4 linked regions of the Caenorhabditis elegans genome follow. The protein of the gene in region 2 purifies or fractionates together with the protein of the main gene of each other region. This does not show direct contact. Each region holds a gene or a part of one and is shown on either strand. Other genes may lie near its edges. The genes, in order: trpp-10, Y37H2A.18, lys-1 and fbxa-101.

Region 1 (7,050 bases), on a different chromosome or scaffold from region 2:
CACAAACTCGTGGAGCAACTTTTCGAGATCATCGAATATTGACATTGCGTATTCAATTGCTCCAAAACTCCAATAGAGGCGAGCGTATTCTGTCTGCAAAAAAATATGGAAACATTTTTGGTGATTTTCTGTGAGAGTTTTCCGTTGAAAAATTAACATTTTTCGCTTTAAGGTGATGTAGTTGAATTTTTAACTGCATTTTTTGACTCAAAATTGTCTGAAAACACCGAATTTCATAATGAAACTTCTTGAAAATTTCAACTTCTCAAAAAAAAAAAAGTTATGACGGCTCAAAGAGTGGCCTAATATTAGTTAAAATTTGAAATTTGACCGACTTGTCAAGCGGCTGGAAACTGATTTTTTTTTAAATCACCGTCAAATTTTGAGTATAAAATTCAATTATCTCGCATTTTCACCTTCATTTAATAATTTTAAAGTCGGTGGACGGCAAGATTTGGTAAAAACAATTAAAAAATCTCAGCGTCCATCGACTTTATAATACCTAAATGAAGTTAAAAACGCAAGATAAATGCATTATATACTCAAAATTTGACGGTGATTTCAAAAAATATTGTTTCCAGCCGCTTTACAAGTCGGTTAAATTTCAAATTTTAACTAATTTTAAGCCATTTATTGAGCCGTCATAACTCTTTTTTGAGTAGTTTTCAAGAAGTTTCATTATGAAAATTCAGTGTTTTCAGATAGTTTTGAGTCTAAAAATGCAATTTTCAAAAAATTCTCAAAAAAAAACGTATATTTTCACTGAAAAATTCAATTTTTTTACTGAAAAAAACGTAAAAAATAAACATTTTTTTATAAATTTACCTTTTCTTTAATTTTTGAGTGAAAAAATTCTATAATTTCTTTGAAACAAATTAATTTCTGAAAATTATTACAAAAAAATTTAAAATGACAAAATTTACTATTTTTTCGCTTTGAAAAATCCTAAAAATCCAATAATTTTTTTGTTAAAATTCAAATTCTGCTCATATACAGAAAATTCTGATTTTTTCCCACAAAATCGAAAAATTTCTGACAATTTTAAAGGAATGTTCAAGAAAAACTGATATTTGGTTTAAAAAAATGTTTTAAAAAGTTCCAAAAAATTCCATTGTCGAAAAAAAAATTTTTTTTTTAATTAAATTTATTCGAAATCGTCGTTTTTTTTTTTTGTAACAGTGATTTTTTTTTCGACAATGGAATTTTTTGGAATATTTTAAAACATTTTTTTAAACCAAATATCAGTTTTTCTTGAACATTCCTTTAAAATTGTCAGAAATTTTTCAATTTTTTGGGAAAAAATCAGAATTTTCTGTATATGAGCAGAATTTGAATTTTAACAAAAAAAATTATTGGATTTTTAGGATTTTTTAAAGCGAAAAAAATAGTAAATTTTGTCATTTTCAATTTTTTTGTAATAATTTTCAGAAATAAATTTGTTTCAAAGAAATGATAGAATTTTTTTCACTCAAAAATTAAAGAAAAGGTAAATTTATAGGAAAAGTTGTATTTTTTCCGTTTTTTCAGTAAAAAAATTGAATTTTTCAGTGAAAATATATGTTTTTCTTGGAAATTCCTGTAAAATAGTAGGAAAACACTCTAAATCAGATGTAAAAAAATAATTTGTGGTGTTTTTTAATACTGGAATTCATGTAGAATATTGTGCCAATTACTTGTTAAAAATGCACATTTTATTCAACGATTTTTGGTTTTTACTGCAAAATTCGGTTTTTTTTTCAATTTTTTTCATTTTTCATCCAAATTTTTTTTGGTTTTCTTGTGAAAAAAGGCAAATTTTTCCGATTTTTAACTAAAATAGTAGCTTCTAATCGATTTTTAACGTTTTGAAAGCCGGAATTTTCTGAGTTTTTCAACAAAAAAAAATCAATTTTTCTTGAAAATTCCTTTAAAATTGTTAGAAATTTTCTAATAGTTTTCCGCTTTTTTTTTCGATTTTTTGAGCAAAAAATAGTGAATTTTCTTCCTATATTCAAAAAAAAGTTCTACATTTTTTGGCATTTTAAATTAATTTGTTTCAAATAAATTCTAAAAAAAATTTTTGGAAAAATGGTAAATTTATAGGAAAATTTGTATTTTTTAAGTTTTTTTCAGCAAAAATATACGTTTTCCTTGGAAATTCCTGTAAAATTGTTAGAAAACACTCGAAATTAATCGAGAAAGTAATATTTTTCCAATTTCTTGGTAAAAATGCACATTTTTATCAAAAATTGTTGGTTTTTAATACAAAATTCGGTTTTTTCAACCAAAATTTCTCGTTTTTATGTGAAAAAATGCGAATTTTTCCGCTTTTAACGCTTCAAAAAGACGAAAATCGCCGCGCACCATCGATGAAAAATAAGCAAACGGCTCCCAAGTGTGCTGTTTTTTGCGTTCATATTGATTTTTCAGCGATTTATCCCAAATCTCCATGACCAACGTCAAATGTTGGAATAAAAATTGCTGAATTCCCTGTACAACTGTGACAAAAGCCGCCTGATCACTAGTATCGGGTAGATCGAATAGCCGATTAGGATATTTCGCGAAATCCGATTTAATTTTCTCGACAATCGAATTTTTCGTCTTCCTGTCCTTGGCTCTATTCGTATTTATCACTATGATCCATTGAACGTCGGATTTTGAGTTTAACTGGAAGAAAAATCAATGAAAATCAATGAAATTTTCATTTTTTCCATTTAAATGTGGAGTAGCACCAGTGGGGAAATTGCTTTAAAACATGCCTATGGTACCAAAATGACCAAATATCATGATAAAAAAATTCAAAAAAATTTTCTAAATTTTTATGATTTTTTTTAAATTGAAAAAATCTCAGTTTTTGCCTAATTCCTATTTGAATTACCGCCAATTGGACTTGTTCGATGGAGCGCGCTTGCACGTTTTTAAATTTATTTATTTTATTTTTTGTTATTTTCCACCAATTTTTAATGTTTTCGGTGTATTTTTGCTTGAATTTTAGAGAAAAAGTCAAGATAAATGCAAATTTTTGATTAAAAAGCACGCTGACAGGCGTAAATCAGTGAAATTAATTAATTCAGGTTCGACATCGTTTAAAAACGTTACTTTTTCATTTTTACGCCTGTAAGCGTGCTTTTTAATCGAAAATTTGCATTTATTTTGGCTTTTTCTCTAAAATTCAAGCAAAAATACACCGAAAACATTAAAAATCGGTGGAAAATAACAAAAAATAAAATAAATAAATTTAAAAACATGCAAGCGCGCTCCATCGAACAAACCCAATTGGCGGTAATTCAAGTAGAAATCAGGCAAAAACTCAGATTTTTTCAATTTTCAAAAAATCATATAAAATTTAGAAAATTTTTTTGAATTTTATTATCATGATAGCAATTTCCACACTAAATAGCGCTACTCCACCTTTAAAATCCTTTAAAAAAAAATCAAAAATCACTTTTGCGAACCAATCCGACACATTATGCCGGACATTTGCGCGATAATCGTCGGCGGAGGTGACATTTATGTTAAAAACGTGTAAAAACGCGATTTTCGTGATCTCGGTCGGTGAAATTTGCGGTCCAAAGCACAGTTTATCCTCGTAAGACACGAATTTCAGTGGAAATGTCAGCCGGTGCGGGAAGGGTTTGTTGTTTCTGGAATTTATATATTTTAAAATTAGAAAAATTCGTATTAAATATTTAAATAATTCTAACATCTTCCAAACCAGCGAATTTCTTGAAAAATAAGATACCAACGCATGCTGATAGACAGAAAACGACTGATCTACACCGGCATCTGGAAAAATATTAATTAAAAAACAGGTTTTTCCGGCTTTTTCGGGCTCACGAGAGATTATCACTGAATTTTTCTGGAAACTTTTCGATAATCCATTAATATCCAGCAAATCTCGATCCATATTGCCTTGAAAATTAGGAAAAATCAATAAAATTGAGGCTTTTTCATTGAAAAAATAAATAAACAAAATGAAATGTGGATTTACGGCGCGCAACGACACTCCGCTATTCCGCACGCTCAATTGGCGGGTATTCAAATTGGGAAATATTGTCTGAATGTCGTTTTAATAGAATTCTCAAGTAAATTTTCGACTTTTTGAGTATGTTCGATATAAAAGACTATATTTTAACTATTTTTAACGTTGTTTTTTTTTTTGAGAAAAAATTTGTCAAAGCGAAAAAACAAATAATCACGTTAAAAGTATATACTAAATAGTATAAATTTCAGTTTATTTCTGATTTATTACAAAACAAAACAATGATTTATCCGAAGATGAGAAATTTCAAGCGCGGAGCCAAGTGAGTTATGGGCCGTGGGTGGCATGGGCTCTCTGCAGAGCGAGGGCCGAGGAAGAGAAAGCTCTTCCAGGCCAAAAAAGCCTAAATTTTCAGGAAAGAACGTAAAACAGCCGGTCTATGCACAGAACTTCACCTATCCGTCGCCACTGGTCCCAATGGGGAGAATACGGTGAGTTTGGGCGAGTTTTCTCAATAGGGCGCGCTTGCAGAATTTTTAAATTTTCAAAAATCTGCAAGTGCGCCCTATTCGAGAATCGCTGCGAGACCCTAGAAAAAAGCTTGGTATAACAGGTCACAGGTGCTTGCCTTCTTTTTTGAAATGTAAGAGTTTGCCGAATTAGGCCATTTTGGCTCTGCCACGACCGGGGTAAATTTACGGCGCGTTGCGTGTCGCGTCGCGGCTCGGTTTTACACGGGGTTCTGGCCTTTCTCATTGAATGTTTCGCGCTCCATTGACAGGACAACGCGTGGGAAAGTTGTGTACTCCACACGGACAAATACATTTAGTTTTACAACTAAAATTGAGCCGCGACGCAACACGCAACGCGTCGTATATTTACCCCAGATATGGCCGAGCCAAAATGGCCTAGTTCGGCAAAAAACTCTTCCATTTAAACTTATGAGGGAAGCCACAAATCGGTGATTTTAGTTGTAAAACTAAATGTATTTGTCCGTGTGGACTACACGACTTTCCCACGCGTTGTCCGGCGGGCGATTGTCAATGGAGCGCGAAAAAATCAATGTGGAAGGCCAGGTGCCCGTGCGCGGCTTGCATAAAATTTTTTGAATTGCACAAAAAAAACGCAATAAAAATATGGGAAAAAATACCAAAAGCTCCAAGTTTTTTTTCAGATGTCTGCCACGTTGGCACCGGAAGACTACGCAACAATCGTCTCAAATCTGCAATCAGCCGTATGTCTAAACGTGGCACACCGTGTCGCGTGTCCGGCTCACGATTCGAAATTGTGGAGTGACGTCATGCAGAAGAGCTTCTCGATTTGGAAGATCATTTCAAGAATTTTGCTGATCATTGTGTCGATCTTCTTCGTCCTGCTGCCACCGTATCCGCCAAAGTTGTTCAGGAAAATTGTGTTTTGTAGTCCGCAGAAAGGACGATACTATTACCTGATTGCGGCTAAAGGTTTGTGGGGATTTGGATAGGCAGGGAGGCAGGCAGGCAGAAAAGCGTGTAGGCACGTAGGCACGTAGGTAGGCATAAGATATATTACATATATAATATGATATAGGCATAAACATAGATAGGCATGAGAAAAGCGTGTAGGCGCGTAGGCACGCAGGTAGGCACGTAGGTAGGCAATTAGGCACATAGATAGGCATAAAGTAGGATCAAAGGAAAGTATGAGCTAGGCACAAGGTAGGCACGTAGGTAGACATAAGATAGGCATGTAGGCACATAGATAGGAAAGAGAAAAGCGTGTAGGCACTTAGGCACGTAGACACATAGATAGGCATAAGAAAAGCGTGTAGGCACGTAGGCGCGTAGGTAGGCAAAATATAGGCATATAGACACCTATATAGGCATGAGAAAAGCTTGTAGGCACGTAGGCGCGTAGGCAGGTATAAAGTAGGAGCAAAGGCAAGTATGAGCTAGGCATAAGGTAGGCACGTAGGTAGGCATAGGCTAGGCATTTAGACACATAGATAGACATGAGAAAAGCGTGTAGGCATGTAGGCACGTATATAGGCATTTAGTTGGAGAAAAGCTAGGCATAAGGTAGGCACGTAGGCAGTCATAAGGTAAGCGAAATTTTCTAGTTTTTTTTTTAATTTTTTGCTTTTCCGAGAAAAATAATAAGAAGAAAGCTCGTTTTTCTATGCGTTTTCTTGAAAATTTGCACTCCAAAGAACATGGTGGCCGAGTTTTTGCCGCTTTTCTGCCGACTACGGCCTCCAGACCTAGACGGCATATAGGCAGGCAGGCAGGCACACATTGAACTCTTCCAGGAACAAAACGTAAAGCATGCTTCCAAGCCAGCGAGGCCGATGGTTACGAGCATCTTTCGATTAGTCTTCCACAAATGATCAAGCCGAAGGTCCGAGCAATCGACGTATTCTATCACCTGCTCCGCTGTAAAGTGTTCACTTTGCCATACGACGAGAAGCACAAGATTTGTGCGATGGAGCTGTATTGTGAGCAATCGATTCGATGGCTGCATCGGGATAAGAATCGGCAGAGGTGAGTTTTGCCTAGGCAGGCAGGCACGTAGGCATGCCTGCATCGCCTCGCCTAAACCCTCTCTTTTCCAGACTCCGTTCCCCCAACCTCATCATCTTCTCGCAACCCAACTCCTCGGACCTTGGCTGCTGCTTGATGATGGATCCAAACTTTGCGGATATCGCTGACTTTCTTCAGTGTGATCTTTTGATCTACGACTATCCCGGGTACGGTGTCAGCGAGGGAACGACAAATGAGAAGAATGTCTACGCTGCTGTGGAGGCGGTGATGAAGTACGCGATGGGCACGTTGGGCTACTCACAGGACAAGATCATTCTCATTGGATTCAGTTTGGGCACGGCGGCGATGGTTCATGTTGCCGAGATGTATAAGGTAAACTTGGTAGGCCTGTGTGCCTATATGCTTGCCTACCGTAAGGGCCAGGTGTGTGCGCAAAATAGGCATGATTTTTCTGGGGTGCTCATGAGGTGCCAGGCAGCTCCATTACGGTTTGATCTACAAAAAAATGCGGGAATATTTTCCCCAAAATATTGTGACGTGTCAGCACGTTCTTAGCCAATCAGTTGAGAA
Region 2 (6,085 bases):
AAGTCGATGAATTCTAAGAAAAATTGTTAAATTTCCAGAAAAATCGATAAATTTTTAGAAAAATCGATAAATTTCCAGAATAATCGATAATTTTTCAGAAAATTCAATGAATTTCCAGAAAAATTGATAAATTTTCGGAAAAATTGATTACATTGGTGAAAAATCGATCAGCGATTTCAAACTCCGCCCACGGCACCTGATTGGTTTAAAAGTGGGCGGAGCGAATCGCTGATTGGTCGCAGTTCTCATATTATTTTATTGGAGAGAATTTAGAAAAAACTGGATTTTTCGCGATTTTTTAGTTCAAAAAATCTCCTCGCCATCAATATTTCTGACATTTTTTTGTAAAAAATCACAGGTAAACGGGAAATTATCGATTTTTCGGCCAATTTTGAAGTTTTACCGAATTTTTTTTAAATTTTAATGAAAATTGTAAATTTTCTAAATTTTATCAAAACTCTACCTATCAATTGGCTCCACATTCTCCAAAATCGTGTCAACAACTTTAAGCGGCATATTCGAAAGTGTCAGACTATCCGGGTTCCAGCTGAAAAATACATTTTTTGTCAAAAATCGCAATTTTTAATCAATTTACATCAGTTTTCCGCTCAAATCCGCATTTTCTTTTCCAATTTTATAGAACCAAAAATCGAATTCCCGATATTCCATAAGATCGTCGCCAATTGTTTTGCAGAAATTCTTATATGCTTCGAAAACTGGCTTTTTTTGAAGAAACTCGTAGAGAATGCATGCTCGGAGAGCATTTTTGTCGTTTCGAAGGAGATCTCTGAAATATTATATTTAATTTTATTGTAAAAAAGCAAATTAAAAACAAATATAAATTGTATAAGCTAACTTTTTCGCAGAATCCGGGATTTCGCCTTCTAGAATGCCTTCTACTTCCATTTTCTTGCAATTTTCTGAAATTTTAGCCTTTATTTTGTGATAATTCAATCATATTCATCCGAAAAATCGATTTAAATCCAGAAAAAGCTGGAAAAATCAATAAAACTGAGAAAAAATTGCTCGTCAAATAACGCGCCGGGTACGCAATGCGCATTGCGTACTTCTTCAACTACAGTACCCCACACGAAAAATTTTCCTCATAAAATATCGATTTTTCCCAATTTCAAGCGAAAAATCACGAGAATTACGATTTTGAAACTGAAATATAGCTCAAAATTATAAAAAATATTGCTGTTTAACACTTCCAAATTGTAGTTTGTAGTGCTTTAGTGTTTTTAATCATAAAATTCCTGATTTTTGTCGATTTTGAGCAAAAAAAACGCGAGTTTTAACTCGAAATCATGAAATTTGGATAAAAATCCGAAAAAGTCTACATTTTCAACGAAAAACAACAGTTTTATTAACAAAAAAAAGGGAAAAAACTACAAAAAAAAACGGAAATTTTCAAAAATCAACAGAAAACAGAACAATATTCAATCAGACTCAGCGTCTAAATTCTAAACCTTGGTGATATAGATGATATGATTGACACTGTCCAAATAGAAGCCGATAACAAACTTGAAACCTTGGGTCTCGAAGCGAACTCCAGCAGGAAGTGGTTCAGAGTATTTTGGGTAGAATACTTTCAGAATTTCCATGAAATCAGGATTTCCAACAAAGATTTCAGCACCTTTAAAGCTGGGCTTTTTCATGAGAATCTGGAAAATTAATTATTTTTTTAATAGTTATATTTTTTTTAGTTGTATGGCTATCCAATACTTATTAATATATTCATTATTAGAAACTATCCGAAAAAGTATCCTCCAACACCCCTGTTGTATACCCAAAATTAGACAGTGATTTCAAAAAAAAGATAGTTTCCAGTCGCTGGACAAGTCGGGCAAATTTCAAATTTTGACTAAGTTTAGGTCATTTTTTGAGACGTTTTCAAGAAGTTTTGCGATGAAATTCGGTGTTTTCAGGCAATAAAAAGATGCATTTTTAGTTAAAACGAACATTTTTAAACGAAGAAAATGTACGAATACGAATTTCCCCCATTTTTAGTTAAAACGAACATTTTTAAACGAAGAAAATGTACGAATACGAATTTCCTCGAGGTATCCCGGTTCCAAGTACGGAAGAACGTGATCACTAGTATCACCGTAGGCATCGTTAAGCACAACCGCAGTCACTCGAATGGGTTTCAGCTTTTTCAGACAATTCTCAACGAGTTCCGTGTACTCGTCGTCGCGGAGCATATTGTAGAAAGTGACATCGAGAACTTCAAGCGAGAATTTCGGATTTTGCATGATTTGGCACAAGTCGGAGAGACCAGCTTTCAATGGGCATCCTTTTGACACGTGGATTTCCTTGTCATTATAGTTAAGTGTGAAGTCGTCCTCTTGATCCGAATATTGGACGTATTCAACGCTGTTCTCATCAACATCATTAAAATTTATGAAAAAGGACCAATTGCCAATGTAAAAGCTAATCTTCTTGAATGCGAGGGCCCGGCTGTCGATGATGTCACGGAAGCGATGAGACACGTTTCGAATTGGGAATCTGAAAAAAATGTCGATATCACATTTTAAGGAAATCACGTGGTGTCAGAATGTCTCATTTCAGCTTGATCTATGTTGATCTACAAAAAATGCGGGAGAGGAGACGCAGAGTTCTCAACTGATGTTGCATAGTTAAGAACGTGCTGACGTCACATATTTTTGGGCAAAAAATTCCCGCATTTTTTGTAGATCAAACCGTGATGAGACAGCCTGGCACCACGTGGGAAATCCCTATTTTCTTTTGCCAGAAAATCGTGAACTGTGTTTCAGATAAAAATCAATGTGCTTTCTTCTGGAAAACTACTATAAATTCTCGTTTTCTTACATTTTAGCGAAAATTTTCTTGATTTTCCCTTGAACACAAAAGTTAAATTTGCGTTTTCGCAGAAAATTAATTCACGATCTGCGTAAATCGATATATTTTATATTCTCTGTTATTCTTTCTATTTTTAGTCATTAGGAACATTTAGTATTCACTAACAGCTCGATTGGCATCACACGGTCGAAAATTTTGTTGAGCATATCGTCAGGCAGCTCCAAAAGTTGACGACTTTTCGGATTGAATCTGAAATATTTTAAATTATTTAATTTATATGTTTTTTTTTGTCAATTTTTTCCAAAATACCCCCCCCCCCCCCCCATCCATAAAGAATCGCTTCGCAAGTTTAAACTGCTCAGTCTTGATAACCCTGTCACACTTGGCAAGCCAAGAATGTGCCTCAAAATGAATATCCTCGAGTTTTCCCGGCTCTAAATACGGAAGAACGTGATCAATAGTGTCACTGTATGCGTCGCGGAGAATAACCACCTTCACTTGAATGGATTTCAGCTTTTTCATCATATTCTCGACGAGTTCCATGTTCTCTCCTCTGAGATATTCGCAAAATGTGACATCGAGAGTTTCAAGCGAGAATTTCGGATTTTTCATGATTCGGTACAGATCCGACAGACCAGCTTCTACGACGGATCCTTTTGCCACGTGGGTTTCATGTTCCTTATACTCAATAGTAAATCCCTCCTCGTCTTCATCCTCATCTCGAGAGTATTGAACGTCTTCATCATCGTCATCAAAATTCATACTAAGACAAAAATTGGCAATGTTCAGTTCGATTTGCTTGAATCTGGGAGCCCGTCTGTCGATGACGTCACGGAAACGACGAGACACTTTTCGAATTGGGAATCTGGAAAAAAATGTGATATTTAAAAGAAAACCCGTGTAGTTTAAAGTACGTTCAAATCGTTTTTTTAATAGTGTTTGACAAAAATCAATGTATTTTCTCCTGAAAATTACAAATCCTCGTTTTCTTTTTTTTTCAGCGGAAATTTCTTCGATTTACACTTGAACAACGTTAAATTTTTGAGAAAATTCAATATTTTCTGCCAATTTTTGGCAATTATTAATTACTAACAGCTCGATTGGCTTCACGCAGTCGAAAATTTTGTTGAGCATATCGTCAGGCAGCTCCAAAAGTTGACGACTTTTCGGATTGAATCTGAAATATTTTAAATTATTTAATTTATGTTTTTTTAAAATTTCTTCAAAATACCTCAATTCACTGCCCAATTCGGCATTTTCCTTTCCCAATTGATAGAAGAAAAACTCAAATTCCCGGTATTCCATTGAATTTTCTCTGAAAACATCGCAGAAAATGTTGAAAGCGTCGAAAATTTCGGTTTTCTGGAGGATTTGGTACAGAATACATGCCTGTTGGGCATTTTTATCCTGGCGGAGAGTGAGGAGATTCGCATTATCGTCGGGATCTGTCATTTCTGCTGAAAATTAAGATTTTTGAGTTTTTTCAAGACGAAAATTGATTTATTTTGAAAGAAAATTAAACAAATTCAGCGCAACAAATTTGAGACAAACATTTTTCTTCCGAAGTACTGTAGATTTCGAAATACGCAAGGTGGTTGCGTACTCGACATTCAACTTGACGCGCAACATTTTGAATAGCTTTTTTTGAATAATATTAAAGTAAAAATAGCCAAAAATATGCTTTTTTCAGCAAAAATGACAGATCCTGACGAAAATGCGAATCTCCTTATGCTCCGCCAGGATAAAAATGCCCAGCGGGCTTGTATTCTGTACGAAATCCTCCAGAAAACCGAAATTTCACACGCTTTTGACATTTTCTGCGATGTTTTCGGAGAAAATGCAATGGAATATCGTGAATTTGAGTTTTTCTTCTATCAATTGGGCAGTGAATTAAGGTATTTAGAGGAAATTTGAAAAAAAAAACAACATAAATTAAATAATTTAAAATATTTCAGATTCAACCCGAAAAGTCTTTAACTTATGGAGCTTCCGGACGATATGCTCAATGAAATTTTCAACTACGTGAAGCCAATCGAGCTGTTAGTGGAAATTAATTACCCAAAAATTAGCAGCGGCCAAAAAATGCGAATATTTTGGAAAATAAATCAAAATTTACTTTTTTTTTCAAATAAAAATTAATTTTCCGCTTAAAGTGAAAATTAGAGCAATTTCAAAATTTTTTCAGTTTTCCAAATCAAAAACACTGGAAATTTCACAAAAAACTGTAAAATTTCCTGCAAAAAATGGGGTTTTCCTTTAAATTTGTTATAGATTTTTTCCAGATTCCCAATTCGAAAAGTGTCTCGTCGTTTCCGTGACGTCATCGACAGCCGAGCTCCCGGATTCAAAAAAATCGACTTGGACATTGCCAATTTATACTTTATCATGAATTTCGACGATGATGAGAACAGCGTTCGGTACCGCCGTGAGGAACCCGAGGATGAAAGATTCATTATTGCATACGGGGAACAAAAAGTCAATGTGGAAAGCGGTTGTAATGTTACAGCTGGTCTCTCCGATCTGTACCGAATCATGAAAAATCCGAAATTCTCACTTGAAACTCTCGACGTCACATTCTACAAATACCTCCGCGAAGAGAATATGGAACTCGTTAAAAAAATGCTGAAAAAGCTGAAATCCGTTGATGTTAACACTGTAATCCTCCGTGATCCCTTCGGCTCCACTAATCATCACGTTCTTCCGTATTTGAAGCCGGGAAAACTCGAGGAAATTCAATTCGTTCCGCATTCCTATGTCTCGTCGTGTCATGAGATTCTCAAGACGAAGCAGTTTAAACTTGCCAAGCGATTCTTTTGGGAAGATCAAGAGTGGAAAATGTCGAAAGACACGAAACTTGGGAAGTTTTTCCACTTGGAACACTTTACTACTTCGGTGGAAGAATTCACAAAACAAGACGCGAGAAAATTAAAAATGTTCGTTTTAACAACAAAAATTTGGTTTTATTTTCAAATAATTAATTTTCCAGGTTCTCATGAAATAGCCCGGCTTCCAGACGGCGACGATCTTTGTGGAAATGCCTGATCCTATGGAAATTCTGAGAGTATTTGAACCGAAATGGTATGAGCCACTTCCTCCTGGAATTTGGTTCGAAACCCATGGCTTCAAGTATGCTATCTTGATCACTTCGGACAGATTCGATGTCGCCAGGGTTCCGAGTTTCGATTTTTTGGATCATCTCAATAATTTTACTGACTCTGATTGATTATTGTTCTGTTTTTTTTGTTGGATTTTTGAAATTTTG
Region 3 (5,782 bases), 7.9 Mb from region 2:
GTTTCATAGAGAGTTGCTCCTCTATTTATGAATTTTCTCAAAAGTATTTTATCATTACTTCCTCTCAATTCACAAGCATTCACGAGTTTGTGTATTTCTTATCTTTCAGAAAATCGAACATAATATTTAAATAATTATTTCCCTAAACTACAAATTTTCCAGGTTACTTCCCCTGCCAACTGGCCAAACAATCCAACTGCCAACGTCAACTTTATCAACAGCATAATTTCCCGTGCTCAACAATATGGTCTCTCTGTTGGAATTTACACAAACCAATATGACTGGAGCCAGATTACTGGAAATTCGGCGAATATCAATTCTAATGTCATGCTCTGGTATTGGAATGTTCTTGGAGGTGGTACTTCTGGAGAGACAAAGCCAACTTTTGCTGATTTCCGTGCTTTCGGCCCATTCAAGAAGGCTTCAGTGAAGCAGTATGCTCAAGTTGAAACAGTTTGTAATTTGGTTGTGAATCGTGACGTGTATGCTGTTGGAATTCCAGCTGCTGCTCCAAAGACTGAAGTCAATATGGCAGATGGTGAAAAGATTGTTGTCGGAGGATTTGTCGGAAACTAATTTATTAAACTTATTATCGGTTTTATGATCTCTTCCCAAATAAAATTGTTATCATCTGTTATCATTTTGCCGGCAGAAGAATTTTCTTGAAGGAGAGAAAAAGTCTAAAAGTCACGAAAGTTAAACACATTGATATTAATGCGTAAAAAGCGATTAAATGCATATTATCGTTAGGTGTCAATGCAACTTAAAAAGTGCAAAAACATCTTCGTATGTTAATTTTCAGATTTAATTATTTTGAACAAATGATTTCTTTTTTTCAAATTACGTTGAGTTCAACAAGCCTTCCACGCGGGTAATATTGAATATATTCTATCCTATACCCTCTCAGATAAACTGGAGTCACGGCTGACTAGGGAACCGTCAGAAGCTGCCCATCGGACTTGCATATGAGACCAATGCCATTCGATAGTGCATGTCTTAAAACGGTTGCTCGTGAATTTTTAGCGGCAAAACTCCAGAACCAAGCTCACGGCGGGCTCTCAAAGATCTTAAAATAGCACTGTAAGGAAGAACTTTAACGATCTAACGAAGCAATTTTCGAATTTCACTTTGGTAGCTCATATCTCCGTAGATAAATTTTTTACAGAAAAGTCATCAACTAAAAAGTTGTTGATATTGTTGTAAAGAACAAGTTTGTAGTTGAAAGTTTTTTACCAAAAAATTTTTGTTTGCGAGAAAATCATTAGAAACGGAATAGCAGCATAAAAATAACAACACCAGTTGCCGCACTTCACGCACTTTTATCTCAAACAAAAATTTTGTGGTAAAAAACTTTTAATTACAAACTTGTTTGTTACAACAAAATCAACAACTTATCAGTTGATGACTTTTCTGTAAAAAATTTATCTACGGAGATATGAGCTACCAAAGTGAAATTGGAAAATTGCTTCGTTAGATCGTTAAAGTTCTTCCTTACAGTGCTATTTTAAGATCTTTGAGAGCCCGCCGTGAGCTTGGTTCGGGAGTTTTGCCGCTAAAAATTCACGAGTAACTGTTTTAAGACATGGGCTATCGAATGGCATAGGTCTCATATGCAAGTCCGATGGGCACCTTCTGACCGTTCCCTAGTGAGGGACAGGAAATCACTGCCAATTAGCATTTATGCCACGGCTATTTTAACTTTTTAAATGTTTACTTTTCAAAATTATATTTATAGAAACGATTTCCACAAAAATCTTCAGAAATAAAGTGAAATCGTCATGCGAAAAGACACAATTAAAATTTTACTGATCATTCATTTTAATTTCTGGTATATATCTGGTATGTTATATGGTATATTTCAGTATTTTTTAAAATAAAATTTTAATAAAGCTAGGATTGTTTATTGAAATAATACAAATAGGTAAGAGATCACAACATAAATATTTTAGACTCCAATGACTCCTCCAACAACAATCTTTTTGTTGTTGCTGCTGATGTCCTCTTGAGTGAAAAAATCAGTGTTTTTCGATGAAGCAGCAGCTGGGATTCCAACAACGTAAACATCACGATTGACGGTCAAAGAGCAGACAGACTCAACTTGAGCAAATTGCTTAACAGAAGCCTTCTTGAAAGATCCGAATGCACGGAAGTCATCGAAAGTAGCTGGAGTCTCTCCAGTAACACCACCTCCAAGAACATGCCAATACCAGAGAAGAACATCAGAGCTCAAAGTTGCCCAGTTTCCAGTAATTTGGCTCCAGTCGTATTGGTTGGTGTAGATTCCGACAGTCAGTCCGTATTGCTTGGCTCGTGAAATAATGCTGTTGAGGAAGTTCACATTAGTAGTTGCAGACTTCTGCCAGTTGGCTGGGGAGGTAACCTGAAAGAGTTCAAGTGTATAGACTATAATCGTCGAGAATTAAATTTCTTATCAGTTGAAAATTGAAAAATAATCTCCGGAAAGAAGATTTTAATGTTTAAGTGTACATTGTTTCCAGTTTTTCACATATGACATTTTAACTAATTTAACTTTTAATTGTTCAAGGTTTTTTATATTTCTTGTATATAGCTAACCTGAATCCAGACAGATCTGATGGTGATTCCATTTCCGTTAAGTCCGTTATAAAGAGCATCAAGTTGTTGGTATCCTTGAAGAGAAGAAAGTGGTTGTGGAGTCATGTAGACCTCAATTCCCAATCCAGCAGAATAAGCATTTCTGATAGAAGTGACTGAAGTTGTGTCGAATGCTCCAGATCCAAATGGAGTGAAACCTCTGATGAAAACAGCTGCATATCTGGATGTCTTGAGGCAGTTCATTTGAGAAACTGTTGTTGGAACAGAAATATCAACTGCGTAGGCATATGAAGCATCATTGTTCACAACTTCCGGAGCTGGCTCGGCCTTGATCTTCTCGAAACCAATATCAGTCACTTCGAAGTTGTCCTGTGGAAGAGCTACAACTCTATTAGAGTCGACATCTTGTGGTCTAGCAGAAGCCAAAGCAAAAAGGAAAGTAACGAAAGCAAGCTTGAGCATGGTTCTGAAACAAAAAACAGAAAATAATATTGACTTGAAGAAAAGTGCCAACGAAAAGGTTGAGAGAATGAAAATCTAATGATTCGGTGATGGATGGCGGCTCGTTTAAGTAGAAGAAAACGTCCAGTGATAAGGGTAATCAGTGGAGATAGAAAAGTGACGAGTAGGGTGAAAGAGATTCATTCGGGGGCGTTAGTAATATTAAATGTCAAGACTATATTAATTGGAAACTGGAAAGTTGATGATAAAATTAAGTACTCTTTTTAAATAATTTCTACCAAAATTAGTTATGCGATTAGTCAAAAAAAGAAGCATTCTTCATTTAAAACAAAATTTCTTTCCGCGACCAATTTGGGCAGGGAATTTTAAAGCGGTTGGAACTGAAGGTTTCTGATAAAATACTTCTACAAATGTGAATATGACTCATGCGATTCTGTCAATAGAATACTAGCACGCTATGACATATATCACTAGTCGCTAACGGCTATTGCTGATAGTTTCTTAGATGAGTCACTAAATTTATTTACATCCCACTTTTCACATGTTATTCTGTTGGTTTTGACGAACATTCTATCATGAGTTGACGAAGAACTACATATTTTCAATACATGGTCAGACAACGTTAGCCATATTGCCGACAATTTGAGAATCAAAGGTTGATTTATATTTGAAGTTTAGATTTATCTTTTCATGATATTCCGAATAAAAAACAACGATAGATCTTTGTGTTTTATTTATTAGATATTCTCATTTTCTTTCTTTTACTTCATGGAAATATCATTTCCAGGCTGGCTGCTTCATCTTTAATGTCGGTTTCGGATTAACGTCTAGCAATCTACGAAGAGGATCTTTCACTTCCAAATATCAAAACCCATGTGACAACTTCAACAATTGCCCAATTTTTCCACATTCCAAATTCATTGTCCATTTTTTTCCGTTTCAATAAAATATTTGGTCACCCTTGTGCTCTTCACCATCCATATTCCTTCATTGTCACAATTCGAAAAGCTCCAAAAATTCGAAAACGAAGAGTAGAAGGATGTGGTCGCCTCTCGACAACAATTGACGGACTCTTCCCGTTTGCCACTTCACCAAACTTTCCTTTTTTCTATTCTTTTCTTCGTTTTTTTTCCTTTTCTCCGCTTATTTTCTGGAACCGACATCTCGTCAGTTATGCTCCGGTGCCTGGCCAATCACAAGACAAACCCAGAAAAAATAGAAGCTCGTTCGCATCCAAATGAGTTTTCCTGCGAAGAAAATTAAAAGAAGAAAAACGTAAGGTGGCCTGTTAGGGTTAAAATAGCTGAGCGGAGGGAATTCCTAGATAAAAAAGAAGAAAACGTAATTCACTTGAATATTTATCGGTGACTATCTTGAGGTTTCTAGTTAGAAATGAAGATCAAGAATCAGAGATTTTCGGTACCTTACTTTTCCCAGTTTTAGGAATAATGAAGATCTTTTTAACTGGATCAGCAATTTTTTATAGATGTTTTATAAATTACAGAAGACAAAGCAAATATTGGCATTAAAAAACAAATAAACTGCTATAAAAACATTGCACAACATTAAACCCTTTCAAATACACCTCTCAACAGAAAATAATCAAAAAATACTGAGATCAAACATTCATTCGCTTTCCTAGGATTTTGTGCTCTCAAAATGAAAATCCAGCTGCATTCTCAAAACTCGAAAATATATGAATTGCACTTACTAGGCAGATGGATTTGGTGAGAGTTTCAATAATCGATCTTTTACAAATGATAACGTGCATATATTTTTGAAATCAGTATTATAGCCTTCAGAATGCGCAAAAAACCTATAAAGGTTCACATTGAAGGTGACCATGCCGGTTCGAGGCGAGATTAAGTGACTTTTGTGACTTTTATACGCTCAAAATTCTAGTATTGTAGGTCGCTTCAGAAAATGTATGCCCTTTCGTAACAATTAAAACCTAATGAACTGTACATCTCTTTTCTTAACCCATGTCCACCTATTTTGCTCTGTTGGTATGTCATCAACGATGCGAAAAAACGCATTCATAATAACGAGCGGTCGACATCCGGCGCAGAGCACTCGTGTATTATTTCCGGGGCATTCGTCCGTTTTTGTCCGTTGCTCTCTTTCTTCTTCGTCTTCTTTTTTCTTCTTCCACGAAAACTCTTCTCAGCATCGCCTTTTCTCTGTGTTTTATGTGTCCGATGGTTTCCCGTCCCGTTTTTTACGAGTTCTCCTTTTCCTTCTTTCTTTCCATTGATCGTCCCATTCGTCTTTTACTTTTTTGTTGCTCTTCTTATTTTTTGTTCTGAAAAGAATCCGCAAATGTCTTCTCCATGAGTATGCACAGAGAACGTCTGAAAATGTATTTTGCCAGAAGAAGAAGATAGATAAAATGAACATTTTGAACTTTAGAATTGGGATTCTCAGTTTCAGCCAACTAACCGGCACAAGGAGCAAGTGGCTCTGGGGAAATTTTATTTTCGATACACTGAACATATATCAAAAATAATCCTAAATAATGTTTATTCTATTATGTCAAATTTTATATTTGAAGCTCAGTTTGCAACGGTACCACTTGCCTTAATTTTTGATCCATGTTCCAAAACATTAATATTTTAAATAAAGTTGTCTTATCCCACTATGTATAAGTTCATTAGCTAAAAAAAATCACCAGTTATGCAGTTTCCGAAACTACAATCATCATTAAGATTGCTAGTATAAAACTCCCTGTGGAAGAATTTTCATCAAG
Region 4 (5,939 bases), on a different chromosome or scaffold from region 2:
GAGCGTTTGCTGGCGCGATTCTCGATACATGAGTCATTTCTTGTGGGCTACCATTGCTATTTTATCATACTGATTAATAATTCACCAGAATTGAGGATTTCTCAATGTGTATCCGAAAATGCGTCAGCAACCCATTGCTGACGCCTTTCTCGATTCTTACCGGTATGATTCTCAAGGTGAATTGATCTGCCAATTTTGGGAACAACGGTTGAATATTCCTGTTTAAAGTTTCAATAAAACTGGGATTTGTAGCATTTATCACTGCTTTTCGTTGCAATGAGGTAGCAATTCCATGCAGGGAAATTATCTCGAAAAGCTTGTTTCCTAAAAATGAAAAAAGCTTGCTGGCGCTTTTCTAGTGCCCTGACGCATTTCCTGATACTCACCTAGTCCACCAGAAGGGAAGGCGAAAAGCATAAGTTGCAAGGTTTTTTCATAGTTTGGCTGGGACTTTTGTGAATTCTGAAATAAAAGTTTTTTTTTTCAATTCCATTTTAAAATTCTCACTTTTTGCTCCAAATCCAAAAAATGTCGATTTTCAATAAAACTTAGCAAGTTGTTCACATTGATCTCACATTTTGGCGATAAATTTGAATTTTTTTGAAAATATTCTAAAATATGACTGGATCCCAGAGTTATTTTGATTATAACATAGATATTGGCAAATATTCCTGGAAATATCGAGAATTGCGCCAGCGAAGTTGGGTGCTGGCGCACGTTTGGATACATGACGTTACGATGTTCAAAAGTGCGTCAGTTGGAGGTTTTAAAGAGAATTCAAAAAATTGTTTTAGATGAAATGCTGTCAAAAAATTATAGATATTACTTTGAAAATTTTGGAAATTCTGGAAAACTTTTGTTTAAATTTTAAATTTTTCAGACTCTTTTTCTACACTAACTCACCTAAAACCAAGCAAAAATACATCAAATAATTCGAATTATACCTCATAGTTTCAATTTTCAAACACTTAAAAAATTTCCAAAACAAAATATTTTTTTTCAAATTTTGAAACTCTCTCAAAACTTGAATAATATGATTATATAGTAGCGGGAATCAATAATTTACAGCGAAAAACATGTATTTGTATTATTATTAATAGTATCCAAATAGCCAATGACTGGAGCAATGAGCCCCCATGGTGCATCGAAGGGATGTGTAAATAGCTGCAAAAATGACATATTTTGCGGTCCAGATCATTGTTATAGAACTCGTTACACGTTTTGGGCTTGTAATAAAATTAAAATTTGAATTTTGAAAAAACACTTTGGGAAATTTTTTTTTTGTGAAAAAATTTAAAATTTCTAAAAACGTTTTTAAAAAATTAATTTACAATTTTTGCTAGTATATTCTTCACTTTCAGCTAAAATTTCTAGAAGAAAGGTTCAAAATATGACAAATTTGTAGCTTAGAGCAGGAATAAATTCATTTTTCTTTTCAAAAATATATAATTTATTTAAGCACTTGATTTTTTTTTTTTTTTTAATTTTTTTTTTTAAATTTTTTCACTAAAACGACTAAAAACATGAACTTTCCATAAATAATTTTCAAAAAAAAGTCAAGTTTCGCTTTCGGTTGATTTATTTTCTTTACCGGAAGCGACGTTTTTTCAATGTACTTTCTTGGCTTAGGCTTATAAAATGTCTAGTTTGTAGTCTATTAGCCTTCCAGTGTTGATCAAAGAAAAATGACAAAAGCAAATTCATGAGAACGAGATGAACAACAATAAATTAAACAACAATTTTTGAAAAACCAAAAAACAAAAATTAAAATTAAATAATCAGCCGAGTTTCTTCTCAATTTTCACTCGCTCTTCAGTGACTTCAATGACATATTCAAATCCATTTGCCTTGTAATTGATGGTTCCGGTTTTGCCAGCGAAGGTAGGATCAAACTCTTGGAGCATTTCTTCTGCAATTGATTCACTATCATCTAATTGCTTGCTGACGACACAAGTTTCCAGCTTTGTAGACGAATTTACCAACTGAAAGAATTTTAATTAAATCAACTAAAAATTGATTATTGCTATACCTCTTTCAGATCATTTGGCGATACCTCTGGACTGGTGAATTCAATACTTGAAAATCCAAGAAGATCCGACACAGTAAATCCAAAGACGGAGCAAATGTTAAGATCAGTTCGCAATTGTTTTGCATTTTTAAACTGTTCCAAGCAAGTTAGTGGACGAATATCGTTGAAGATGCAACGCATAATCTCAAATTTCACAAGTGTTCCAGCATCGAAAGAACTGAGAATTAGCGCAGCTCGTGGTTTCTTGAATCCACTCAGAGAAACTGATTTCGCTCGGAAACAGTGAGCATCTCCAAACTCCATATCGATTGTTCTCAGGCTTGACCTCAACCGTTCATTGTGGACATAGTCTTCATATCCTCCAATTGAGTCGAAATCTAGACTGAACTTCTCAATCTGAGCTTTTGGAAGCTTCATGACATTGAACAATTTTCTGAGAGCAAACTGTAGTCCTTTATTGTAGATGGTTCTTCTTTCATCATCAGCCACGACCGGATGGAAAGGTTCATTGCGAGCGTTGCTTATTTCATCATAAGGCACAAATCTATACCGATAACGAAATGATTTTCCATTGAGAACAATGGTGTACCTATGGCCCTCAATAAAAATATCAATGTCCAAATCCAGTTTCAAGGTGTCGATGAAGCTTCGAAGATTTCCATTGGAATTGCGAACGGAAATCCTGAAAATATTTTTATTATACTTTCTAAAAATATAATTTTTATTTATTTGATCTTACCAATCGTATGGATGCAGTTTCTTCACAATTTTCTTCATAATATTCAGAGGCAAGTCAAAAAGCGTCGGCGAGCTTGTCTTCGATCTGAAAATGTGTTTTAAAAAAGTTATTTGAAATTATTGTAGCCTAAATAACTAACAATTTCATGGAATTCTGCTTGTCCGTCGTTTCACCAATTTCTGCTCTTTGGCTAGTCATGTCGACGAATTACCTGAAAAAAATTAATTTGAGTAAATATAGAAAATCACGTTCAATGTGTAAAAACGAAATTAATTTTTACAAAAACAGGTTATTTTACTTATTTTAAATCATTTTCAGGGGAAAAATCACAAAAAATTGGTTAGAAAAACGCATAAACCACATTTGAAAATTCAAAAAAAAATTTAGAATTTTTGTGCGTCAAATGAGATGCCCGGTACGCATACTGCGTACTCTGAGAGTTACCGTAGTTTGGAAAAGGATCTTTGTTAACTATTCGAGAATTCCTTTTAAAATATAGAAAAACTGGGAAGATTACAAAATATTAAACGGAAGGTAACATTCAGCCGTAACCCAAATTATTGGTTTAATCAGTTTCAAAACAAAAAAAGTAACAAAATAAGAATTCATGTGACTAGTAAAACAAAAGCAAATTTTGAAAAATGAGAAGATTATTCGATTTTCTTCACAATTTTAGTTTCGAATTCAGTGACTTCAATGAGATATTCGAATCCATTTGCTTTGTAATTGATTGTTCCGTTATAGCCAACAAAGTTCGGATCGAACACTTTGAGCACTTCTTTTGACACCGTTAACACTCCACTATTGTCCTCATCATCGCTGTCTTCATCACTATCTTCATCGCTGTCATCCTCGCTGTCATACGTGTTCCTGCTGAGACAAGTTTCCAGCTTTGCAGACGAATCAACCAACTGAAAAAAAATCTAAAATTAATTAATCAATAATTAAGAATTTCTATACCACTTTCAAATCAGATGACAATACTACAGTTGTGAATTCGATATTTGAAAATGCGAACAGTTCAGCAACTCGAATTCCGGTGTAGCGATCAGTGGAAAGTCCAGTTTTCAGTTTTTTCGCATTCTTCCACTGCTCCGAAAGCGTCAGCTGCCAACTGAAGTAGAACTTGTAGGAATTAATGATTTCAATGTTCTCGAGAGTTCCAGACTTGAAAGATTTGAGAATGAGCACAGTTCGAGGTTCCTTTAGTCCACTCAGAGAAACTGATTTCGCTTGGAAACAGTGAAACTCTCCAAACTCCTTATCGATTGTTCTCAGGCTTGCACTCAACAGTTTATTTTTAAAACTAACTCTTCTGGAACCAATATCGTAGATATCTTCAAATTCGTCACTTCCTCTTCCCATAAAGTCAAAATCCAGTTTGAACTCTTCAATTTGGGCACTTGGAAGCTTCATAACCACGAACAATTTTCTGAGAGCAAACTGTAGTCTTTTATTGTAGATGGTTCTTCTTTCATCATCAGCCACGACCGGATGGAAAGGTCCGAAGGATTGATTTCCATTGATATCAATGGTGTGAAAAGTGCCCTCAATAGAAACATCAATGTCCAATTTGAGGTGCTGGCTGTCGACGAAATCTCGAAGATTTCGATTGGAATTGCGGACGGAAATCCTGAAACTCATTTGGTTTTTTTTTAACATTTGCCTAACATTCAAAATTTGATACCAATCGTATGGATCCACTTTCTTCATAACTTTCTCCATAACATCAACTGGCATGCTTAAAAGCGTAAGTGGTCTTTTCTTCGATCTGAAAATAAGCAAATTTTAAACTGAATCCGATGCAAATTTCATTTTAACACTAACAATTTAATCGATCCAGTTTCTTTGTCATTTCGACAATTCCACGAGATGAGCCAGTCATTTTGACAAATTACCTGAAAAATAGGAAATTTATTTGATTGATTCAGTTTTCAATCGTTTGAAGTGAAGAAAACAATAAGAAAATACGGATAAAGTGAAATATCTTTGTAAAATACGTTACCTAACGGTAAAATAACAAATTTTCCAGTAAATTTCGTGAAAACTGAAAATTTCTTTTCTGTCTAATAAATTTTCACAAATAAAAATCACAAAAACGACAGGAAAAATGCAAAAACTATGTTTGAAATTTTGAAAATCCAAAAACAATAAACTAGGAATTCTGTGCGTCAAATGAGATGCCCGGTACGCAAGTTGCGTACTCCGAGAACTACCGTAGTTTCGGAAACTTTTTTTGAAACGGCTAATTTTAACTTATTTTATTTTCAGAATATAATGAAAAAAAAACAATTTGCATGCAAAGTAGCAAATAGAATTTGAAATAAAACGTTTATTTTCGTAAAATTTCTTAAATTTGCAGTGAAAATCCAAAAAATGAGGAAAAATCTCACTCTCAACTTTGCGCGTAAAATATAGCGCCCTGTACGCACACCATGTACTCAGAAAATGACTACCGTAGTCATTGCATCTTAAAATAATGTTTAATGAACCGAAAACAACACAAAAGAATTTAGTTATGCGGAAATTCAATGAACATTTTGTCAAAAAAAAATAGGGGAAATCAACAGTGAAAAAGTAAAAAAGAAGACTACAATAACTACAAACTACAAACCAATAACGAGAAATGAAGAGATGATCAAGTGAGAAAAGTGAATAAAAATACTGCATTTGAAACGGAAACGATGTAGTTTGTAGTGTCAAAAGGCTACAAACTACACAAAACTAGTCTAGACAGCACCAAAATAGCTGGTTGAGAAATGATTTGGATAGAGAGATGTGATATCGGAGGCGACGACAGTGATATACGGGTACTTTCTGGTTATATTCTTGAGTCCAGTCGGTGAGATGAATAGGGAAACCAAGTAGATATTCTCATCTGGGACACGTGCCTCTTTTAGGACTTCAATTGCCTTGCAAACTGTCGTCCCAGATCTGAAAAATTGGAAATTTTGATAAAAATGTGATTTTTTAAATTTAAATGTTTCTTCAGTTAAAAAAATTTCAAAAAAAGATTTTTTTTGCACAAAAAAAAACTCAATTTTTTAGACAATTTTTCGCCTTCTGGGGAAGTTTTAGTGATCGACATTTTTAAAGTTTCTACGTCAAACAAATTATTGAATTTTACGATTTTTCGCCGGGAAAATCGATTTTTTGACATTAAATTTTGTG

The links.
Region 1: the proteins of Y37H2A.18 (region 2) and trpp-10 fractionate together in Caenorhabditis elegans (co-fractionation; one large-scale study listed by BioGRID). This does not show direct contact.
Region 3: the proteins of Y37H2A.18 (region 2) and lys-1 fractionate together in Caenorhabditis elegans (co-fractionation; one large-scale study listed by BioGRID). This does not show direct contact.
Region 4: the proteins of Y37H2A.18 (region 2) and fbxa-101 fractionate together in Caenorhabditis elegans (co-fractionation; one large-scale study listed by BioGRID). This does not show direct contact.

Annotation. Positions count from the first base shown.
Region 1 is NC_003279.8:1,892,071-1,899,120, reverse strand, and holds the start of trpp-10 (Trafficking protein particle complex subunit TRAPPC10/Trs130 N-terminal domain-containing protein), read right to left. Parts: upstream 3,946-7,050; 5' UTR 3,887-3,945; coding exon 3,817-3,886; intron 3,768-3,816; exon of another isoform or gene 3,766-3,767; coding exon 3,684-3,765; intron 3,624-3,683; coding exon 3,425-3,623; intron 2,647-3,424; coding exon 2,344-2,646; intron 94-2,343; coding exon 1-93. Other genes in the region: Y71G12A.4 (AB hydrolase-1 domain-containing protein), read left to right, coding at 4,243-4,283, 4,377-4,452, 5,136-5,424, 6,249-6,480, 6,552-6,852.
Region 2 is NC_003283.11:18,130,204-18,136,288, forward strand, and holds Y37H2A.18 (F-box domain-containing protein), read right to left. Parts: upstream 3,075-6,085; 5' UTR 3,030-3,074; coding exon 2,989-3,029; intron 2,509-2,988; coding exon 2,022-2,508; intron 1,665-2,021; coding exon 1,464-1,664; 3' UTR 1,416-1,463; downstream 1-1,415. Other genes in the region: Y37H2A.12 (F-box domain-containing protein), read right to left, coding at 464-547, 596-787, 857-906; Y37H2A.7 (F-box domain-containing protein), read right to left, coding at 3,097-3,688, 3,917-4,000, 4,055-4,275.
Region 3 is NC_003283.11:10,275,162-10,280,943, reverse strand, and holds lys-1 (Lysozyme-like protein 1), read right to left. Parts: upstream 3,041-5,782; 5' UTR 3,037-3,040; coding exon 2,575-3,036; intron 2,381-2,574; coding exon 1,946-2,380; 3' UTR 1,888-1,945; downstream 1-1,887. Other genes in the region: lys-2 (Lysozyme-like protein 2), read left to right, coding at 163-576; Y22F5A.11 (uncharacterized protein), read left to right, coding at 5,367-5,395, 5,446-5,542.
Region 4 is NC_003279.8:12,956,954-12,962,892, forward strand, and holds fbxa-101 (DUF38 domain-containing protein), read right to left. Parts: upstream 2,980-5,939; 5' UTR 2,967-2,979; coding exon 2,908-2,966; intron 2,853-2,907; coding exon 2,769-2,852; intron 2,712-2,768; coding exon 2,030-2,711; intron 1,983-2,029; coding exon 1,779-1,982; 3' UTR 1,687-1,778; downstream 1-1,686. Other genes in the region: F08A8.5 (Galactoside 2-alpha-L-fucosyltransferase), read right to left, coding at 161-324, 387-462, 508-671, 904-949; fbxa-140 (F-box domain-containing protein), read right to left, coding at 3,419-3,679, 3,729-4,401, 4,456-4,508; C47B2.2 (Phosphoribosyltransferase domain-containing protein), read right to left, coding at 5,498-5,702.